Linked DNA regions of Oreochromis niloticus. The protein of the gene in region 1 purifies or fractionates together with the protein of each later gene. This does not show direct contact. Links are inferred from orthologs where the notes say so. Each region holds a gene or a part of one and is shown in the gene's direction. Other genes may lie near its edges. The genes, in order: ptp4a1, cnnm3 and cnnm1.

Region 1 (7,731 bases):
TGTCTCCCGAATCCAAACTGGAGGCTGGTTCCACAGAAGAGGGGCCTGAAAACTGAAGGCTCTCCCTCCCATTCTACTTTTAAATACTCTAGGAACAACAAGTAAGCCTGCAGTGTGAGAGCGAAGTGCTCTAATAGGGTGATATGGTACTACAAGGTCATTAAGATAAGATGGGGCCTGATTATTTAAGACCTTGTATGTGAGGAGCAGGATTTTGAATTCAATTCTGGATTTAACAGGAAGCCAAAACAGGAGAAATCTGCTCTCTCTTTCTAGTCCCTGTCAGGACTCTTGCTGCAGCATTTTGGATCAGCTGAAGGCTTTTCAGCGAGTTTTTAGGACATCCTGATAATAAAGAATTACAGTAGTCCAGCCTGGAAGTAATAAATGCATGAACTAGTTTTTCAGCGTCACTCTGAGACAGGATATTTCTAATTTTAGAGATGTTGCGCAAATAAAAGAAGGCAGTCTTACATATTTGTTTAATATGTGCATTGAAGGACATGTCCTGGTCAAAAATGACTCCAAGGTTCCTCACAGTGTTACTGGAGGCCAAGGTAATGCCATCCAGAGTAAGAATCTGGTTAGATACCATATTTCTAAGATTTTCAGGGCCGAGTACAATAACCTCAGTTTTATCTGAATTAAGAAGCAGAAAGTTAGCGGCCATCCAGGTCTTTATGTCTTTAAGACATTCCTGCAGTTTAATTCATTGGTGTGTGTTGTCTGGCTTCATGGTTAAATAAAGTTGGGTGTCATTTGCATAGCAGTGAAAATGTATGCTATGTCTTCTGATGATACTGCCTAAGGGAAGCAATTTTAATGTAAACAGAATTGGTCCTAGCATTGAACCCTGTGGACTACCCATAATTAACCTTTTTGTGTGAAGAGGACTCTCCATTTATATCAACAAATTAGATAGATATGATACAAACCACTGTAGAGCAGTACTTGTAATACCTACAGCATGCTCTGATCACTGTAATAGGATATTGTGGTCAACAGTATCGAATGCTGCACTGAGGTCTAGTGGTAGGACAAGCATAGAGATGTGTTCACTGTCAGAGGCTATTGCTACCATTAATTATGCTAATAGTTAAAAAACACAAATTTGATTTAAAAAATCTACATTAATTTAGATAATTCATGTCTGTTACTTTTTTCAATAATCTTTATGACAATTCATTTTAAAACTTAAGGTATGTTTGAGTGCAATATGTATTTTACCACAAAATATTGATGAACGGGTGACTTGATGATACCTTAATCAATGCTGGGCTATGATGAAGTCATCATGATCAGGATTTTTTAAACTGTTTTTCTATTTTTTGTTACCTGTTTAAAACAATGTTAGCCAGGGTTCACTGTGACACATCACAATGTAGTATAATGATTAGAAGTGGAACTTTGCAATCAAATCAAAGCCTATAATGTTAAACACAAACAGACACACATATTTCCAGGGTTAGAACCTTCCATTATTCTTACCATACTAATAAGCCAATTTCTTTTAAAAGTCTGAAAGGTTGTATAAGTAGATTGAAAAATGTATGATGGAAAATATTTTTACAATTAAAATGATACAACAGCACATATAAATATACTGCTGGAGTCATGAATGACCCTATTCAATGACTTAAAGGCTAGAAAGGTTCAGTTTTTTTACAAGAAACTTCCCAACAATTTCAAAGGACAAAAATATGTAATTTGGTACTAATTAAAGAGAAAACATAAAGAGAAAATATGCATTTTCTTTCCCATGTAAATGTTATTATTTGCTTATTACTAACATTTTGATCCTTCATGTACATTATGTTTTTATGTTCTGAGAACTTGCTATATACTAACTAACTGCTGTCAGCTTCCAGTTTATTCAAGTAATTAACGGGAATCCATATCATGTAATAGTTAATCAGTCTTTTAATTTACTTGCTGAAAAATAAGTCAAAACTAAAGTTACCCAAAATAAGCTATATACTATGAGGGTAAATCAATAATAAATTACTTTTTAACCAATTTCATAAACCACCTTAAAAGAAGGTTTGTTCAGTATATGTTTAGTGGGGATTATTGTACCTGTTGTAGTTATTCAGTTGTTCTGGTGCTCCTCTTACTCGATTCTGATGACTCAGAATTAGATCCTGATGACTTAAGAATTACTCATCAAATAGTATGACTCAGTGGCTCTACAGATCAGCTTCACATCCTCTCAGCATTAAGTTTAATGCGCTGGTTAATGATCTGGCTCTTGTTCTTAAACAGGGAATTTATAAAAGATTAAGAAATAACTACTTTGATCAAAGCTTTTGTACAGATGCAAATCAAGAGTAAAGCAAAAAGAGAAGAAAATCATGTGATTTACGTCTATGCAGACAGATTAAACTTTACCGGTGGACATTCAAAGACACCATCCAGTGAATACAAAGCAGATTTGATCATATGACAAGGTAGGACAGTGGTGAATCTACAATACATTTAATTCTCGATTTATTTTTCCTTGATAATTTTATAAAAAATGTGCTTCATATTTTTACACCGTTTTCAAATTTTTAAAGCAATAATATTATTATATTGAAATCCAAAAACTGTTTCCTAGTTGACTTTTCAGTGAAATCCAAAGTACTGTGATATGTGGAAAAAATGTAACCCATGAAAGTGAAAAAGAAGGCAACTCGATTTCTTTTAAGTTAGTGAAGACTTTTAACCCGTCACCCAAGACTCCTCTTTAGAGGTATCTCTTGGATGAGTGGTGAAACATCTTCACAAACTTAAAGAAGTCTAGTTGCCTTCTTTTCAAGTTCTTAAAACTACCACTGGATGACTAGAAATTCTACTCATAAAAATCTTAAATCTTAAAAAGAAGGTGACTGGACTACTTTTAAGTTTTTTGAAGACTTTTACCTCTCACCTAACAGGCTTCTTGAGGTCTAAACATATCCAACGTATCTATGATGAACCATATCAGCGAGAAAGGGCACCCCTGGTTGAGTCCAATGACCACAAGTTGAGTCTCAGCTATTGGTGGCAATGCAAAGCAATCACTATAGTTGTATGGAGTGTGAATAGACCAAGTATCCCATGCTCAAGAAGGACTTCCCACCAGGGCACTTTGAGGGATGTAGTCGAATACCTTCTCCGTGTTGGCCATTATAACGTATTGGTTATGTTTTCAGCAGCGGCTGTTTCTTTGCACGTTGCACTCCCACAGGATCTCAGCTATTGTGGGGGGGGTTTTTTTACGAATTCTTGCTGAGTATTCCATTGGATTTGGGAACTTTTAACCCATGCTTGTCCTAGATGTTCCTGTAGACCAGGGGTGGGCAATCTCAGTCCACGAGGGCCGGTGTCCCTGCAGGTTTTAGATCTCACCTTAGGTCAACACACCTGAATCACATGATTAGTTCGTTACCAGGCCTCTGGAGAAATTCAAGACATGTTGAGGAGCTAATTTAGCCATTTAAATCAGCTGTGTTGGTTCGAGGACACATCTAAAACCTGCAGGGACACCGGCCCTCGTGGACTGAGATTGCCCACCCCTGCTGTAGACTATCACATGGATTTAACTTAACAGAACATTTAATACAGCTGCCATAAGGCAAGAGGCAGACATCCATCCACACTCATATTCATTTCTACGGACAATTTAGAATCCACAGTTAACCTAACCCCTCTGACTGCATGTCCCGAGATTGTGGGAGGAAAAAAAAAGAGTACCCAATGAGAACCTACACAGACACGGGTAGAACATGCAAACTCCATACAAAAAGGCCCTGGCCAGATGTTGGATTGAAATCCAAGACCTTTTTGCTGTGAAGAAACAGTGCTATCCACGGTTCCACCTTGCTGCCCCTTTTCTATCTAAGATTTATAAAGAGTCAAACTACGATGAACACATCGTGAGCTACTCAGGGTTCAATATCTTGCCTAGTATCTGGAATAGTAGCAGACTGGAGGAGCCAGAGATCAAACCAACAACCTTTCCATTAGTACATGTAGTTCTACCACCCTGTAAATATGACGGTTGATTTGAACCCAGGACCTTCTTATTGTGAGCCAAAAGTGCTAACCACTGCACCATGGTGTTATCCCATCCCAAGCTTTAAAACTCAGAAATTAATTTTGGAATTTTCCTTTCCATTTCAAGTTATGAAATTTATCTACACAAAGGTCTGTTCACATTAAGTCAAAAGAACCACACATGTATAATTATATGGTGTCGTGATTTCGGGCATCCTCTGTCCTTGTGTATTTTCTGGAAGTAAAGGACGACTTAGTCCACAGTCACCAACTGACCTTTGCAGCCTGGAGACAGGGAGATGTCTGGACATAACACTACACATTTTCAGGGTGGGGTTTCACGAGACCAGTCAAGCTAAAGGCAAAAGGAAAGAAATACAAAGAGTTAAGGAAGTTCGGTTTAGCTTCAAAATAAAGCTCTGTAAACGAGTGAATGGGAGCATGATGCATGAGCATCCATCAAGACATTTACACATTGGGACGTTTTAAACATTTCATTATTTAAGATTTTGAATATTTTTGTTTGTATGCTCACATAGTGTATATTGCTACAAAAGTATACATTTAATTCAGCTACCAGAAACCTTTAGTAAAAACCGAAAATGTGGTGTATATTTAATACTGAACAGTGTTTTATATTGAAAGTCCTGACAGGAAATTACGTTAGTATCTCGGGCTCTCGCGCGCTCTCTCTCTCTCTAGCTCTTTCCCGGCAGATCAGGAGACTTCGGCTCCGCTCGGAGAAACAGCACAGGATTTTATGGTGGAAAACCGTTTCATAGTTTTACCTTTTTCTAGGGACCGGCTGTATGATTAAGCTACAATCTTCAATGAGTAAGCATATCCCAGTAAGTAACCTGTTTTTCGTGGCTGCCATTTTGTTTCTCGGTTTCGTCTCCTAGGCTCCTCTTGTAAATCAGTACGTTACGGTGAACTGTTACCAGCTGGCCTTCACGTTGCTTCGATGAAATCACGGCCTGCTCGATAAAAACCCAGTTTAACATTTCCACAATGCCATTGCTTAACGTTGCCTCTTTCATTTAACTATAACGAAAATTCACAGAACATGGATTTGGTCCTGTTATTTGAGTGCAATCTTAGAGCTGCATGATAATCGTCACGATTAGGAAGCGGCTGACGGATGCGCAGCTCGGGCTGGTCCCGGCTCTTCACTCGAAGTTTTTGCCGTCTAAAATCGATGCATATTTATTTGAAATAAATGAAACACGTAAATGACGTGTTATTAGTGGTTTGCGAGACTGGCTACCTGCCCAGTGTCTGAGTCGGGAGTCTTTTTTGTCACCTCAGAGCAACGTGCAGTCCGTCACAGCTCCCGACGGCGCCTATAGGCCTCTAATGTTATATGATGGCGCCCGGTCTATCCTCACACAAAGGACACTTTACAGCCTTGTAATGCAGTGCAGAGACATGCCTGCTATTTAAGCCACTTCTGCTTTGCTTCACGCCTCTCTTATCTTTACAAATCACTGTCTTTTTAGTTAGGCAGTGGCTTTTAAGTGCTTGGTAATATTTCTAAGTAAATGCTGCTTTTCCGCCGGAAAATAGCAGATTAACAAAGCATGCTTGACCGGCTTAGATTTTACTATTTCTACAATAAGATGAAGAAAACCTTTCCAGTAAGTCAGCGCTCAGGTATCGAGCTTCTGTGAGGAGTAAAGGGCATAAGCATTAGGGAGGAAATGGCAGAGAAAGCATTTGTGAGTCAGATTTCTGACGATCATAACAGCGTGTATGTTAAAGCCCCGCTGAAGGCCCCACGGTGAGCTCAGCCTTCGAGCACAGATACGACCTGGATGTCAGAAATGACACGTTATATATTTTATTTCTGTTGTACAGCGGGCAGCACTGCAGTGTGATTTTATGTAACATACTGGCAGGTACAGTCTGCTCTGCTGTGTTAATCATTGTGTTATCTGAAACACCACTTTCTCTGCATGGGAATCAAACCCCAGACACTCTGTTTGGAGATTAAAGACACTAATGTTAATGTGGCTGATGACATACTTGAGTGTGAAACTTGGTATAATTTAAAAAAAAAAAAAAGAGTAGCTGTGGGATTCGATTACTGTCATTACACCCTAAATCTGTGTTTCTAGCCAGACTCTGTACTGTTGTCTGAAGGTAATTCTAAAATTCAAATGAGGAAATTTGTTTTATTCTTTTAAAAATGAATGGATCATGACTTTACTGGAAATCTCTCACTTGTTTCACGGCTGCTTTGAATCCAGGTCTATACTTTGTCCCTGTGCTTCCTCTATGATATAATCCCCTTGTCTTTTACTCTGATGGAGTGGTATGTTTGACTAGGGGCTTATGGATATGTGTTGGGGATTAGAGTTGTCACAATATCAGATTTTCCATTTCATGATTATTGTGCCTTAGGAAAAGAATGAGGGACAGTTTCCAAATAGAATGTGAGTAAAAACTGTTTCTCAGTAAAAGTTTGTCTTTTTTGCAAATTAATTGAACTACACTGAGAACAGTTGCCTGTGCTTTTTGTGTTCTTTAAAGATGTTTTTAAAAAATAAAAAATAAGCTTTTCTTCCCTCCTGCCCCCTCTGTGTCTTGCAGCAGTTCTGTGGTGTTCTGGGTCACACATTTATGGAGTTTCTGAAGGGCAGTGGGGACTACTGCCAGGCTCAGCACGCTGCCTATGCAGACGAGTGAACAGCCAAACTCGCCATCGATCCAACGCACTTGAGCCACAGGAGGGACCCCGGAAAGTTGGCAGGACCGGGACTCCTCCCAGAACCAGCGATAACTCGGCCTGGATGGGGTAACTCCACCTGCTGCACACTGCCCTCGTCGGCTTCCGCCTGGCCAGAATCAAGGTGGAACCAGCCTTGGTTTTTTTTTCTTCCTTTTCTTTTGTTTTATTCCAAAGGAGAGGGTTTGAGTTACTTTTCCAATTGTCCGCCCTTCTCGGCTGCCAACTTCCCAAATTTGCCTGTTACTGTTCTTTTTTGGGGTGTTTTGTTTTTATTTTATTTTGACACTTAGCCTTGCCAACCTCGAAGAAGACTGGAGGATTTTTTTCTTTCCGAGTTCCTCAAAACTTGTTGGACATTTGTTTGACATTCCCTCCGAGTTTAACTGTTTACATTAGTGTTTACTCTGTGGAAGACATTTTAGTTTTGTTATACATTTTTTCGCATTGTCGCAATGGCTCGAATGAACAGACCAGCCCCTGTGGAGATTACCTACAAAAACATGCGGTTCCTCATTACCCACAATCCCACCAACGCCACCCTGAACAAGTTCGTAGAGGTGAGCCAAATTGTGGTCAATTGTTTACATATAATATTACAGAGTGTATATTACTTGAAGCCCACATTGGAGAAGCACGTAACTGGTGATTACATGTTGAGAAATGTTTTGGAAACCACCACAGTTTAAATCTTTCCTGGAAATGTTTCAGCCAATGAAAGCAATGACTTCAAAATCGTTTTAGATTACAGGAATTGACGTATGTAGGTGTATTACTCTGTGTGCTTTAGAAGGTTGGGCAATTGGACAAAATTGGTCACTAAAATCAATTGATTCCTTTAATAATTGGCTTTTTTCACAAACTTGAAGAAATTGCACATTACAAAAGAGCTACCAGACAGTACCTCCTTCCTTTGAAAGGGAAATACACACAAGAACAGATTAGTAGCATATGCCAACCAGAGGCAGTGGGATGTCAGTAAAATA
Region 2 (7,673 bases), on another chromosome or scaffold:
GCCAGGGGTATGAATAACTATGGGCTAGAGTGTACATATATATATATATATATACATATATACATATATACATATATACATATATATACACTCTAGCCCATAGTTATTCATACCCCTGGCAAATTTTGGCTTAAAGTTACTTTTATTTAACCATTATGTTTTTTTTGTTTTGTTTTGTTTTTGTTTTTTTACTGGAAATGACATAGGTGTCTCCCAAAAGATAATATAATAAGACGATGTGCATTTCTCAGCTTTTGTTTACATTTGAGCAAAAAGTGTCATGTCTAGAATCATTCACACCCTTCACAAAGTCTCTGGTAAAACCCAAAGTTCCAAATGGACTATTCCAAATAGTCCAAGCTGTTCTAAAGCATACTAATTACCCTGATTAATTGGGAACGGCTGTTTTAATCTGCTCTACAGGTGAAAAACAGCGGCTCTCTGCAGTTGGGTTGTGGACAGTCATGGCTAAGATAAAGGAGCTCAGTGAAGACCTGTGGCTGCTCACAAGTCAGGAAAGGACTATGAGGCCATATCTAATTGTTTTCAAGTTCCAGTTGCTACAGTGAAAAGTATTATTAAAAAATACAACATGTTCTGCACTGTGGACTTGGTTGGAAGCCAAAAGTGACACCTGTGCTGACCAGGAGGAAAGTGAGAGGTGTGAAAAAGAATCCAAGGATCACCACCAAGGCCATACTGATGAATCTGGGCTCTGCTGGTGGCAATGTCTCAAGGCAGACAGTCCAGCAGACACTGCACACTGCTGGGTTCCACTAATGCAGACCAAGTAGGACGCCACTTCTCCAGATAAGGCATACAAAAGCTTGCTTGGTCTTTGCAAATCCTCATCTGGACAAAGAAGAAGACTTCTGGTCTTCTGTTTTATGGTCAGATGAAACAATTGAATTGTTTGGTCACAATGATGTTTCCTTCATTTGGTGTGAAAAAGGAGAAGCATTCAACCCAAAGAACACCATCACAACTGTTAAACATGGTGGTGGGAACCTAATGCTTTGGGGGTGTTTTTCGGGCAATGGACCAGGGAACATAATCACAGTAATGGCAACTGAAAGATTTGAAGCTCAGATGAATGGGCAAAAAGCTGGTCTGCAATTATAGGAAGTGTTTGATTGCTGTAATAGCCAATAAAGGCTTCTATACTGATTATTTAGAAGGGTATGAATAATTCTGGACATGACACCTTTTGCTAAAATGTAAACAAAAGCTGAGAAATATATATATTTTTTCCACAATGATGCCTCTTGTACATAGTCTTATCTTTTGGGAGACATCCGTGTCATTTCTGGTCAAAAAAACTTGCTGGTTCAATAAAAGTATCTTTAAGTCAAAATTTGCCATGGGTATAAATAATTATGGGCTTGAGTGTATATGTGTGTGTGTGTGTGTCCTTATTGAACTACAGTTATAGTTTAATACATTTGGCCTTATTTCTCGAAATCAGACTTAGAACATCCAGAGTGGGTTTGATAAAGTTAGTTCTAATAAAATTCAGTTTTCCTCAAAGTCTTAAAATTGTCTAGAAAATTTACATTGTTTTCTGGACACCACCTGGTCAGCCAGCAGTTGAAGGGTGATAATTAGCTGTCGCTTAGCTAGTCAAAATGGAGAATGTATCAAAAAAAAAAACAAAACTCCAATGTGAGTCCAATTTCACTTTAGAAGTTACACACTGATCCAGTGCTAATTTTAGTGACCTCTGACTGATGTAATAGGGTTTCATTACTGCCAATGTGAATTGCATGTTTATTTATGCTTATCCTTAGGCGGCAGTTTGTAATTGGATTCATTGTTGCCTGTTTTGGCCCCTGGAATGGATTTTACAAGGGTTGCTGGAGTTTCTAGCTTCACATTTCTAAGTATACGGTTCCCAAAAACCAGAGTTTTTTCCTCAGCTGGTGTGTCAGTAAGGTGGAAAAATTTATCAAACAGATGAACAAGTTGGTGGTGTTCCACTTCTGTTGTGGACTACAACACCTCTGCACAGTCACCCTGCCAGTGGCTGTTCCAAGAAGACTTGTTGGGGGAAAACTAACAACGGTTAGCCATTTTAATTCAAGTTAATTATTTTATCACCGAGTGCACTCTCAGTGCTGCTGATTATTTCTGAGGTGAATGCTGTACATTGGAGCTCTAAAATTTCAGACAGGATACAATTAAGCATTAAAGCTTATTGTCTAATAAAGGAGACATGGAAATAGTTTGTCGTAGATCAAAGTGGAATTAATTTGATTGATTTAACAGGTATTCTTGGTGTGAATCCTGTATTCTAGTAGTTACAATCCCAGCAGCAGGAGATTAGAATCGAGCATAATGACATTTTCTAAATGATCAAATTAAAACCGTAGCGCTGCAGTGATTTCAGGTACGGCTTAACAAACCTGCACACATAAAATCTATCCCCTTAGCGCAGGGCTAGTCTGGCACAAATAAATTGGGCCTGGCATTTTTTGTCCAGGAGACCAATCATGATCATTCACAAAAATGCATCAAAAATAAATCTATATTGATTATGTACATAATTCATTGATATTGAGAGGCTTTCTTTATAATCAGGTTGGTCCAGTTGTTGTTGGTTAGCTCTTAGTTTCACTGCCCTGCAGCATATGACACTTAAAAGCTACACTTTAACTATTAGGTATGGCTCATGGTCAAAGCATCCACGCATTTTACCTGAATCCTTGATTATGTCCCTCTATCAATTTGGTTACCACGTTGATTACACCTTGTTCTGTCGCTCTGTGAGGCCTGGTTTCTAGTTGTTACTGGGTAATATAGTTCACGATGCAGCACATATTCTACATGTCGGTTAAACATTTTGCTGCATTTATTTTTAGTTTCTATTTCTCTTTCAGCTTTTTAGCTCCACCTTTTCGCTACTTCTTCCACACTTATCACAGTTTTACAAGATGGGTAAGGGCACAGCGAAGGTACGGGAGAGGCCGGTTGCGCTGAAAGATTTGATTGGGCAATCCAGTGTCGGTAATGAAAATGAACCAATGGGCTGCGTGTAGCACTGTTGACCCATATTACCGGTCCCACCCTGCCTCAGCTAACATTCTATAAAGCACTAGCACGTTGCAAATAAAAGAATCAGTAAAACATGGCACTTCCAGACATAACATAATGTAGTCCCAAAAGTTTTATTTTTATTCTTCCAGTTGCGGAGTTAATGCTGTTGAATTAAATATAAAAAGAGGATTAAATTTAAAAACAGAATTCAAACATAAGCTTAATCTATGTATGATTTTGAGTTCAGCAAGGATTCTGTCCTATGTTAGAATATATTAGCGTTTATAGAATAACAATACTGTTGAAAAACTGCTACCTACAGAAAAAAATCAAGCAGTAAAGCTGCATCTGAGGCTCTCTGTATAGTACCATCAAGGAAATACAAAGACTTTAGACACTACTGATCCTCTTGCTTTTCCGGGAGAACTCCAAGGAATCTTCCAGTGGTCGCACCACTTTCTGGAGACCTGATTGGTTAGTAACTGGTGATTTTATACCTGGTAATCTCTAATCTGGAACCTAACCTGGACCCTATGTCACAAATCTCGTTCAACACACTCAGGGTATCTTTATGTTATCTGGATTCACTTACCTTAACAATCGCGATCAGGATAAATGGTCACATGAAGCTCGTTATCAACTCGCTAAGGTAACCCAGGGCTTCACCTGAATGCTCACGTGACAGTGGTGGCGTTTATAGCATCTATCTATCTAAAAGGCAAATCCTTATGACACCTACAACCTACAACCACCACATCAAATGGTGGTTAAATATCTTTAAAGAGCACAGGAAATATTAACCCATATAAAACATGTTTACCACTCTCTTCTTTTGACAACAGTCTGTAAACGTCTGGGAGCTGAGGAGACCAGCTACTGGATTTTTGGAGTGGAATGAATCTAGCTACTTAACAGCTGGTTGTTCAGTTGTTGTATTTTTCATTTGATGACATACAGACAAAAACTATGTTCCACGCAGTGTTGCCAACTTAGCGACTTTGTCGCTATATTTAGCGAGTTTTCAGACCCCCTAGCGACTTTTTTTCTTTAAAAAGTCGCTAAAAAAGACGTGAAAGCGCGTATCGCTTTTACTCTGAACAAGCAGCGGGTGCTGTAACACAGTCAGTTCTTCTTTTACTCTTTTACTCTTATGCTGTTTTGTGGATCACAAGGTTTAAAACTACTTATAAACACACACACACACAAAGTAACTCCACCAGAGTGCCTATTTCGGGCCACTTTTGCCGGTCCAAGCCCGGGTAAAGGAGCAGGGTTGGAATTGTGACATTAAAAAAAACAATAATTGCTAAAAGAAATTTAATTTGTAGTTCTAAATAAACTCTAAATGCATTTAGGACGTTTTTTACTCACTTTATGTCTCTTCCACGATGTTATTTCTCTCTCCAACAACATAGGTTACAATTACATTAGCATGACCAATTATGCAAATTAGGTGATGACGTCATTTAGCGACTTCTAGCGACTTTTAGGACAACCAATAGGGATTTTCCTTACTGAGGAGTTGGCAACACTGGTTCCACGTCTAGTTACATTTGTTTTTGTGCTTCGTGTTAGTCTGCGTCTTTGTGAACTGTCTCATGTTTCCTGTTTTACTTTGGTAGTTCTTGTCCTATGTTCATGTTTTCCGTTTTGCTTCCCCTTGGTCTCATCATGGTCGTCCGCCCGCCTAAAAAAAAAGGTCCAAACAGCCTACAAGTGATATTTTCTCCCAGTACTGACAGCTGTATTAGTTTAACAGAAGAGGCCCAAAGTGATGCAGTTTTAAATTGTGACAGAAGATGGGAGCGAGCGTCTGTCGCTGTTTTAAATTCACTACAGGCTGCACTCGGCTCTTCTTGAAAGGCATGTGACGCAATAAAAACAAGATGTACGACACATCCACACTCGCGGATCAGGCCTGTACGCGCGTGTCTGGAACCGTAATGGCCGCCGCGCAGCTCAGTTGCGCTGTTTGTTTTGCTTCGTTGGCTCAACCCCCCGGGGGGTGGGGCCGCTGCGGGGCTAAAGTCACGTGATCCAGGCAAAGCCAAGCTGACCAATTCCAATATGGTGGCCAGCCTGGCAGGTCTACGGTTCCTGTTGATGATAGTGTTGTTCTGCGGAATCAGGTACGGCGCCTGCAGCCAGAAAGCTCCGCAGGTTTTGGGGCTGCGACTGGAAGAACCAGTGGATCCGCTGTGCATGAAGGGTCGTATCATTTCAGTACCAAAAGGAGCCACGTTTAAGCTCCGTCTCTTCGGGTGTAATCTGAATGGAAGCTTGCCGTCGGTCGAGTTCGCAGGGGCAGCTGGCGGAGCGGCTGGAGCTGTCGGTGATACACTGGACCCTTGCGAGCAGCAGTCCAACCGCCAGGACTCCAAGTTAAAGGTGACCAATTTAGAACTCGACGATGCGCACAGCGTGCTTCTAACTGTGGAGGTTCGCACCTCTGAGGGGGAAGCTGGCAACGAGCAGACATACTACCACCTGTGTGTGTGGAGTGGAGAGAAATGGACATCTACGGGTCTGGACAGACTGCGAATAAACACCGACACGGATCTGCCTGCAGACTACATCCCGCCGTGGGGTCTGGCCGTACTGATAGTGCTTGTGCTTATGATCTGCGGATTGCTGAGGACGGTGAACCTGAGCCTTTTGTGGCTGGACCCAGTCGAGCTTTATGTCCTACACAGCTGTGGATCCGAGGAGGAGAAACGAGCCGCCAAACGGCTGGAGCCGATCAGGAGAAGGGGGAACTTCATGGTAAGTTTCTAAAAGCACGTGGGGAAGCCACAGGGAAAGAAAGGTGCAAATGAAGTAGTGTTTCCTAAACGCATGTCTTTTCCACCGCAGGCATGTTCTTTGTTGTTCCTGTGTGCTCTGGGGCACTCTGTCCTCGGTGTGCTCCTGTACCGGGCACTGGGCTCCATCGCCTCTGCGGTGTTCAACAGCGGCTTCCTTATCTTCTTCCTAGCTGAGCTGGCTCCTCACATCTTGTGCTCCGGTTACGGCTTCCAGCTAGCGCCTGGTCTGACCTGGCTGGCCCAGGTTTGCATGGTGCTTACCTGCCCCCTGTCTTGCCCTCTGGGCTTGATTCTGGATCTAGGGCTGAGGAGAGACATCAGCACCTGTGGGATAAGGGAGAGGGCCATGGAGATGATACGGGCAAACGTGAATGATCCTTACAGGTAAATATAGTGGACTTGGGAGAGTATCACAGAGATCTGACATAGAGGTGCGATGAGTATTGACACTTGGTCAAAAAAAAAAAAAAAAACTGTTATCAAGCAATCTATTTGTTTGTTTTTTGTTTTTTTTAAGAAAGAAAAACACAAATGATGCTTCTGAACCTACAGAGTAAACAGAACTAGAAAAAAAGACACTATAGGACATAACCAACAAAAAGTGTGTTCTGTCATACTCTACAGTGCATAATTCTTATGGTACATTATGTTAGATTCACTGACATACAGGAACAATTTAGTGTTCCAGACACAGACTCTTTTTGCTAAGTTTGAGTTTAATATTTGATTAAAATGTTTGACACATTAAGATGCTTTGATTCATGATTAATGCCAGTTTACTTTAACAGAAGCATTTTGTGTGATTTTGGCCACTGCATTCTTGTACTGTTCGCATAACCAATGATTAACAGGAACATCATTCGTAAAAACTTGAAATGTAACTTGAACCCGAAAGACTTGACTTTTTAGGGGTTGTCTTTGGTTAGATCTCTAAACACTTGATATTCAAATTGGATTAGTCCAAAAAACTTGAGATTATTCTGAGGGTGGACTTCTTTTTAAAGACTTCACAATTGTTATATTCTTCTTAACACTTGCCCATGAAAGACCTGAAACTTGAATCACACGTGACCTAAAAGTCTTGAGAGTATTTTGAAATTTAGACTTGTTTTTTTTAACAGACTTCACATTTGACCCCATAGTAGCCTTGTAATGATTTGAAACCTGACCTGGCCTAACACTGTAAAAATTTGATGCTTGAACCAGATTAAGTCTCAAGACTCTTGAAGACTTGAGACTTCAGTTTGACTTGCCTTTAAAAGAACGTTACATTTTACCTGGACTATCCAAAGTGAGGGTTGATGTGTGTATTGGCCTAACTGTATTAACACCTTAGACAGATTAAGTCTTGGGACTGGACTCAGACTCATTTTCAAAAGATTTAAGACTCGACTTGAACTTGGTTCAATAGACTTTTTTTAGGACTAGTCTGCATTAAATTTGTAGGATTTGAGACCTGACTTGAAGTTGGTTCTTAAAGATTAGCCTAGAAGATTTGATAATTGACTTGATTGTTGACTTAGTTGTTTTCTTCATTATGTTTGTAGTGAGTTTGTAAAGGAGGAGTTCAGTCGTGGGACATTGCGCATTAAGACTGTGGAGGACATCCTGACACCTCTGAAAGACTGCTTCATGCTGCCTAGCTCGGCTGTCCTAGACTTCTCCACTATGTCTGAGATAATGCAGAGTGGTTACACCCGTGTGCCCATTTATGAGGAAGAGAGGTGGGATCAGCAACACGACACTCACTTAACAGCTTAAAAAAACACGGCATAAAAACTTGACATGGCAGCATTTACCTCATCTGAACAGAGTATCTGTAGAATTGGCAGCTTT
Region 3 (7,054 bases), on another chromosome or scaffold:
ACTCAGACAACGTGGCTGCGTGCGTAATGAATAAAAGAACCTCCAAATATTTTAGAGGAGGGCACCCATACAGATCGATGTAGACGACAAGCAGGAAAGGGTTCTTTTGTACCTCAGAAAGTCCAGCCATCCGTCTCTGATGATCGAGGGGTCCAGTTGCAGAGAGAGGAAGTTTTCGTTGAGGACTCTGATTGAACTGCGGGTGTTGACATCCAGGAGAACCAGCGTCCTCTCCAAGAAGCCCTGGCGCTTCCCAGCGACTGCAGGTCTCTGATACGTAGAGGAGGAAGAGAGCACCGACTGCACCATCAAAATAAGCAACGATGCCAGCCACAGGGAGGGCCATGGGAATACGCGCGGAGAGGATTTGGGCATCTTCTTGGTTTGGAGAGCAGGGGGATCAGTGTGCGCAAAGAAGCTTAAAGGTGGGAAGAAATCAAGCACTAAACAAACTCTGCTGCCGAGGAGTTCGATGGCGGTTCTATACCTCGGTCTCATCGATCTGGATCTGTCTTCCTGTCTAGCTGTCTCACCCCCCGCCTCTGCCCCCCCGCCCCTCCGAGTATTTTTGGGAGCTGCACGCAAGAGCGCACGCCCCGAGCCAGCCTTTCCCGTTGTGAGAGCTAGAACTGGGAGGAGGAGAGAAGACAGCACCGCCCCTCTAAGGTTCTCCGAGGTATGAGGACAGACTGCTCGAAAGTTTTCCCAGTTCACAAGTATAAGAATTTAGTCTTACGAACTATGATTGCAGTTTTTTTTCCTAAACACCGAATACAGAGGTTATTGTTTTCTGAAGAAACTGACATGAATCTTTGTTTCTTAAAACGCTGCTATAATGGTAAAATCAAAATCAGATTTTGTAGAAAACTCAAGTTCAGTCCAGTAATTAAGCTACACTCAAATATCAACAAGTAAGAAGAGTACATATTTAGAAGCGATTAAGTCCCTCGGGCGAGGATAAAAGGCTTTTTTCCTTAAAAATGATAAGCCATGGCGGCTGGTCCTTTCGCAGAGATAATGATCAATCTTTTAAAAAAAAAAAAAAGCTCAAGAAAAGCAAAACTTGGATTAAATGTATGCAATACTGTCATATGAAAAAAATAATTTTAGAATAACTATATTGATAGCGAAATGGGAGACTGTATAAAGATCTTCCAGAAGTTGTGCTTAAACTCACCTAAACTCAGGCTGACCGTACGCAGGCCTCTAATCGCCTGGCTAAACTGAAAATCTCAGTTGTACATCATAGTAAGAAATTATTACTGCAGAGACTGACTGAAGGTCGTTTTCGCCCGTTTTACGTCGTATTTCTTAAACTAAACGTTCCAGCAAAAAGTCGAAAATATTAAACGTAAAAGAATCTCGAGGCTGTTGTTCAAAAGAACAAAAATTCAGCTTCAAAACAAGAACAGATCTTGTCAGCAGCATAACTCATGATCATTGCAAAGGCTCTGCTTTCTTGACAAACAGATTATTGATTGCACATTTTAAAGATGGCACTTGGAGATGCCAGTCTGGATATTTGGCCTCTTTTCAGAAGCATTCAAAACCAATTTGGGATGTAAGTCTCTGCACATGGAACTTACCTATAAATTCTTTATATGGCTTTAGACCAGATGTTCTTGGGACACTTGTGAGCAAGCACACACCAACCAAGGTGCAGGCTACTGCGCTTTCCCCCCCCCCTTTATTTATTTTTTCCAGGGCGCAGTGCGCCAAGCTCTCCTGGGGCGATCAGTGTAGCGAACGTTGGTCGTTTAAGGTCACTGCTGTCTCACAGATGAGCAACGAAGTGCTTAAGAGAAAAAAATGCACAAAGTTAAGCTCAATTTTATCGTTTCTTTCCGGTATACAACACCTACTCACGAATCCACGAAGCCACAACACAAAATCATCCAAGCAGTCAGCTCTGTAGGTTTAGGGACGCAAACGGTCCCCACAAAGCAGATTAAAAGATCATCCTTTGATTTTATATGGTACAAAGTGGGCTGATATTTCTTTGTTTAAATGCACAGCTTAGTGTCGCTTACGAGTGTCAGAAACTCTAAAGTAACGTTCTCTGTGGGGTGGTAGCCTGTATTCTCCGGCCTGTTAGAAGAAGCAGACCCACGGTCAACATGAGCAGCAGAAAAGCACAAAGTCTGATTTTCCGCATTTCTTCATATTGTCAGTTGGCGCCGATAACATCATAATTAACATGTGCTTTCAATTCAACCACAGTTTTAGTTTTCAGTGGAAAAATATTTAACATTTTCATATAATTAGATCTCAAATGCGTTTTGGGACATCTATGTCACCCTTGAGGATATTTTTTTCTAAAAGAAGGAAAAAGGAAACTTTAGCCTATCGAAACAGCACTATCATATAATATTCCAAGAGGAAATGGCATGGATAATGTGGATTAGTACGCAGGGAATTTTTTGTCTATTATATTTCCTCTTTGCTGTTGTTTTAGTGAATGTTAGACCACCTTTAACTCCTTTACGGCTTACCGATCGACTGTACTGCTGAAATTTGAAAACGGTTTGGTTTGTTGTTTTTGGATTTGAAACTCTAATTTAAATCATATAAAACAGAGCGGTGACTTTTTACACTCTCAGCTCCTCCACGGGCCGGTATAAAAAGAAGTGAAAAATGCACAAGTTATATATAAAGTTATGTTGTTAACTTTAAGCTGTCAGTGGAAGAAGAAAAACATTCTAGGAAAATATTAAATCAGTTAAACATATTCGGTGAGGAAAAATAATCTGCTACTACTACAATAGACTAGTTCTTCGATCAAATCTAACCTACTGAAATTTCGGATTTAATAATTTGAAGGGAGAGTTTAGTCATGATGTGCGATAATGTTCTCGTTGCTTCTTTTGAATGTAAACTTTACAATAGTTTGTTCAGGAAATGATTCGCAGCTTTAATTAAACTGAGTATTTTTCTGTCTGTTTTGTGTTTAATGTTAAAGACACTGCTGCTGTTTAAAAATCAAGATCTGTTGCTTCAATCGTGGGAAATTATTGCTCTGTGAGGGGAAAAATTACTCGGCAACACTGATCGCAGCAGAAAAGCAGCATGAGTTATATCATTCATCCAGCAGGGTGGCTGAATAAAAGGATAGAGCATACAGAAGTTTAAAAACTTCCTAAGCAGAATTAGGTTTAGACAAATACACTGAATCGTCAGAGCATTTTCGGTGACTTTTGTTGGGCGGACTCAATGGTTGGCTTTCTTTAAGATTTATTTTACCGCCTGCAATGCGTTTATTTTGATCGATCATGAAAAATATCTAATGTAAAACATATAGTCGACATATTTATACATCAGCAGAATCTTTAACGATGCGAAATTTTTTTATACGCATATATTTTTTGGTTTTGTTTGGCAAACTATTTAATGTGTAATTTTATCAGGAAAATCGTCTGTCGATGACTTTAGGATGACAGTTGGAGTGACAGTTTTACAACCTGTTTTGCTGTTTTTTGTCGTCTGAGTAAAGCGTGGCAATGACTGTTTGCCCTTTGCGCCTTCAGTTTTCTGCATCGTAAATCCCACAAACCGGTCACCGAACTGAGATGCGTTAGATCTGAAACAGCTGATCACTGAACGGTATATAATAATAACAACAACAACAATAAAAAATAATAATGGTGATAATAATAATTATAACTATAGTAATAATAATAATGATCTGTGGGACTTGATTGTAATTGTTTTATTTACAACTTACTTTGTTTTTACAAAAAAAATCCCAACGAACAAACAAGAACAATCCTCTTCATGTCAACATTAAACGTCATGGAAGTCAGTAAAACGTTGTTCCTTGTCATATAATATTTCCAAAGTATATAGAAGGTAAAAGTGATATCTATAATATTTATATATACATATATATATATATATATTTACATATATATAAAATGTGTGAGTGTTGTTTTAAAGTAGATTTAGAGACAGCGACATTTTGTTTTAATTTGTTAAGGGATGCGGATACTAAAACACAAACTATTATAACAGAGATTTTAGAAACACATTACATTTATGTGTTTATGCTTAAAAGCCAACAAGTACAGTTTTTCAAACTGTACTACACCGAAAACAGGTGGCGATGCTGCCATCTAGCGGGGAGTTTAAAATAAATAAAAAAATAACTAAAAATAATAATGAAATAAGAGTCTGAGCTCTGCACTAACGCACAAACTGGCACACAACACAACATAGCATTTCTTTCTATTGATTTGCTTTCTTGATACACATCCCAATCTTTTTTGTATTCAGCTTGTATCTCCTTACTATTTAGCAAGTAAATATCTTCCTCTGGCGTAGCTGTAGGTGCTCTGTCGCATGAATCATAAATGATTGGGCATTTCCTGCTTTCTATTTATAGAAAGCGGCAGAAAGCAAAAAAGCGAGGCTTACGTCAGGGTTTGTCATTTATATTTAAGGTGCCAGCCCACAAACACATACACACATACGCACACACACTTGAATTCCTCTCTGCTCTCTCTCTCCGTGGCATGTTACCCAGCTGCTCCATCCATCCCATCCGCAAACCACGTGACCCAGTTCTCCCGTGTCCTTCAGCGGCTCATTCAGCATGATGGCTGCGGATGCTGCGGATGCTCTCTGCAGCATCCTGCATCCGCGCCGGCTCTCCCTCCTCTTTCTTACCGTCACCATCTCCTCTCTGCCGGCCAAGACAGCGGCGCTGCTCGGTGTCCGGCCTGAAGACACCCAGAGCGGAGAACTGTCCGTGCAGGATGGGATATTGAGGGCTACCGAGGGGACCCGCTTCATGCTGAGGGTTTACTACTCCGCTTCTCCAGCTACCGAAAATCCCAACTTCCTGAACATCAGCGGCAGACCGGACGCAGCACCTGCCGCTCCGTGGATCGCGTTTATAGAGGAACCAGGTGGGGACAGTGGAGATGCAGAAAGTCCGCTCCTGTCCAGGGGGAATCCATGCGAAGAGGAGAATGCCCGGAGCTCAGACATCGAGCTGCTGGGTTCCTTCAGATCCACCTCAAGTCATAACTCAGTCTTAGTGGAGCTGCTCGCCAAAGACCTGCGCAGAGACGAGGTGATCAAATACTACTCCATGTGCGCGTTCGATGGAGTGAAATGGGAGCACTTGAGCACCAAAGACTTCTGGTTGGCTGTGGTGGAGAGACCTCCAGAGGCAGATGCTTGGCTGCAAGCAGGAGTCTCTGTGCTCTTGCTGGGGCTGTCTGCTCTGTGCAGCGGGCTGAATATTAGCATGCTGTCTCTGGACCCGGTCGAGTTGCGGGTCCTGCAGAACAGCGGCACAGAGAAAGAACAGAAATACGCGCGAAAAATAGAGTCAGTGCGTAAACATGGCAATTACATCCTTTGCACTGTGGTGCTGGGTAACGTGCTTACAAACACGTGTTTTGTGGTGTGGATGTGCCAGATTTTAGGAATGACCGCTCTCTCCACTGCCTCATGCACTCTGGGGATATTTTTTATTGGCGAGATTTTACCTCACTCAGTGGCATCCAGGCACAGTCTCGCCATCGCATCCAAGACCCTGTGCGCGACCCGCCTGTTGATGCTGATATTTTTCCCCATCGCCTACCCGGTCTCCAAGATTCTGGACATTATGCTGCACCAAGAAATCAGCAACTTTTACACCAGGGAGAAACTGGTGGCCATGCTGCGTGTCACAGACCCCTACCACGACCTGGTCAAAGAGGAGCTCAACATTATTCAGGGAGCCCTGGAGCTTAGGACCAAGACCGTAGAGGATGTGCTGACACCGCTGTCAGATTGTTACATGCTGTCCTCAGATGCTGTGCTGGACTTCTGCACCATGTCAGATGTGATGCAGAGCGGTTTCACACGCATCCCTGTTTATGAGAACGAAAGGTCCAACATTGTAGACATCCTTTTTGTCAAAGATTTAGCCTTCGTGGATCCTGACGATTGCACTCCTTTGAAAACAATTACTCAGTTTTACAAGCATCCAATGCACTGCGTCTTCAGTGACACCAAGCTGGACGTGATGCTGGAGGAATTTAAGAGAGGTAACTCGCTTCACTTTAAATCATATCAGAGGTTTGGTCTCTGCAGTCTCCATATCTCCCTGTGTGTCCTGTCTAGGACCTATACACAACTTATGAGTAAGAAGTCAGCTGAGCATGTGAGGCACCATATGTTTTAAAGCAACCTCCCACCAGTTAGGAGTTAAATGTTCTTTGAAGTGACTGTGCACTTAAGAACTACATTTTCAGTCCAGAAGTCAATGTATACATCAGCCCATTGGCTCAAAGTGGGCCTGCCAGTAAAGCCCTTTGATCCCCAGAGCAGTGAGAGACATATGTGAAATCTGATACTGTGTCACACAGTGTGTTTGGTTCAGCTAGAGTTTAGAGGCTACCATAATAGGGTTATCTTAAGAATTTATGTGATGAGAGAGATTTAAGTCGTTTTCCCATGACAACACTGTGAACTTCATCTGGCCCCATGCTCGGTACCCCATTTCTATGCAAGTATCAGTTATCGGCTCCTCACTTAAAATGCTTGAAATGCTAAACTGTATCAAAAAAGGAATTTTGCACGATTTGCCTACACCAGAATTCGTCTTTCTCTCTCCTCTGATAGCCATCTTTGCTGATAAGTGAATTGACAGTATTGCCGCACATGCAGTGATAGCATCTGTTTACTAGAGAGGAAAAGTGCATTGCCTCTATTTAGGGACTATGTTCAGCCTTGGTAACATTAAATATGATTCCGATTTAGTGCTCAGTAGCGAAAACCTCTGACTGCTCGACTGACAGTGTCACACTGTAAAATAAAGACACACGAGAAGCCACTGCCACAGCTGTTATGCAAGGATGGAAATCTGTTTTATAGACAAAGAAAGGGCAATACATGTCAGCTGAATGCAGCTGGCCTTGGCAGGGTAATGAATTATGTTGCCACTTACAGTTCAGGAGGTCCACTACACTTCACCGTGCCTGGGATTATGAAATATAGCTTTGGTCTGGCACAAGTGATCCATGAGCTCACACTTGACCTATATGTGTGTCGGCATCGCTTGTGT

Evidence for each region.
Region 2: the proteins of ptp4a1 (region 1) and cnnm3 purify together in Homo sapiens (affinity purification with mass spectrometry; 6 studies listed by BioGRID and IntAct, with this or other methods). This does not show direct contact. The link is inferred for Oreochromis niloticus from reciprocal best matches to the Homo sapiens genes PTP4A1 and CNNM3.
Region 3: the proteins of ptp4a1 (region 1) and cnnm1 purify together in Homo sapiens (affinity purification with mass spectrometry; 4 studies listed by BioGRID and IntAct, with this or other methods). This does not show direct contact. The link is inferred for Oreochromis niloticus from reciprocal best matches to the Homo sapiens genes PTP4A1 and CNNM1.

The regions. Positions count from the first base shown.
Region 1 is NC_031971.2:5,687,443-5,695,173, reverse strand, and holds the start of ptp4a1 (protein tyrosine phosphatase type IVA 1), read left to right. Parts: upstream 1-4,723; 5' UTR 4,724-4,865; intron 4,866-6,609; 5' UTR 6,610-7,200; coding exon 7,201-7,305; intron 7,306-7,731. UniProt on the Homo sapiens protein: Protein tyrosine phosphatase which stimulates progression from G1 into S phase during mitosis. May play a role in the development and maintenance of differentiating epithelial tissues.
Region 2 is NC_031972.2:10,683,055-10,690,727, reverse strand, and holds the start of cnnm3 (metal transporter CNNM3), read left to right. Parts: upstream 1-4,650; 5' UTR 4,651-5,100; coding exon 5,101-5,796; intron 5,797-5,886; coding exon 5,887-6,221; intron 6,222-7,384; coding exon 7,385-7,561; intron 7,562-7,673. UniProt on the Homo sapiens protein: Probable metal transporter.
Region 3 is NC_031978.2:18,197,754-18,204,807, reverse strand, and holds the start of cnnm1 (metal transporter CNNM1), read left to right. Parts: upstream 1-4,022; 5' UTR 4,023-4,588; coding exon 4,589-6,035; intron 6,036-7,054. Other genes in the region: hpse2 (inactive heparanase-2), read right to left, coding at 113-498. UniProt on the Homo sapiens protein: Probable metal transporter.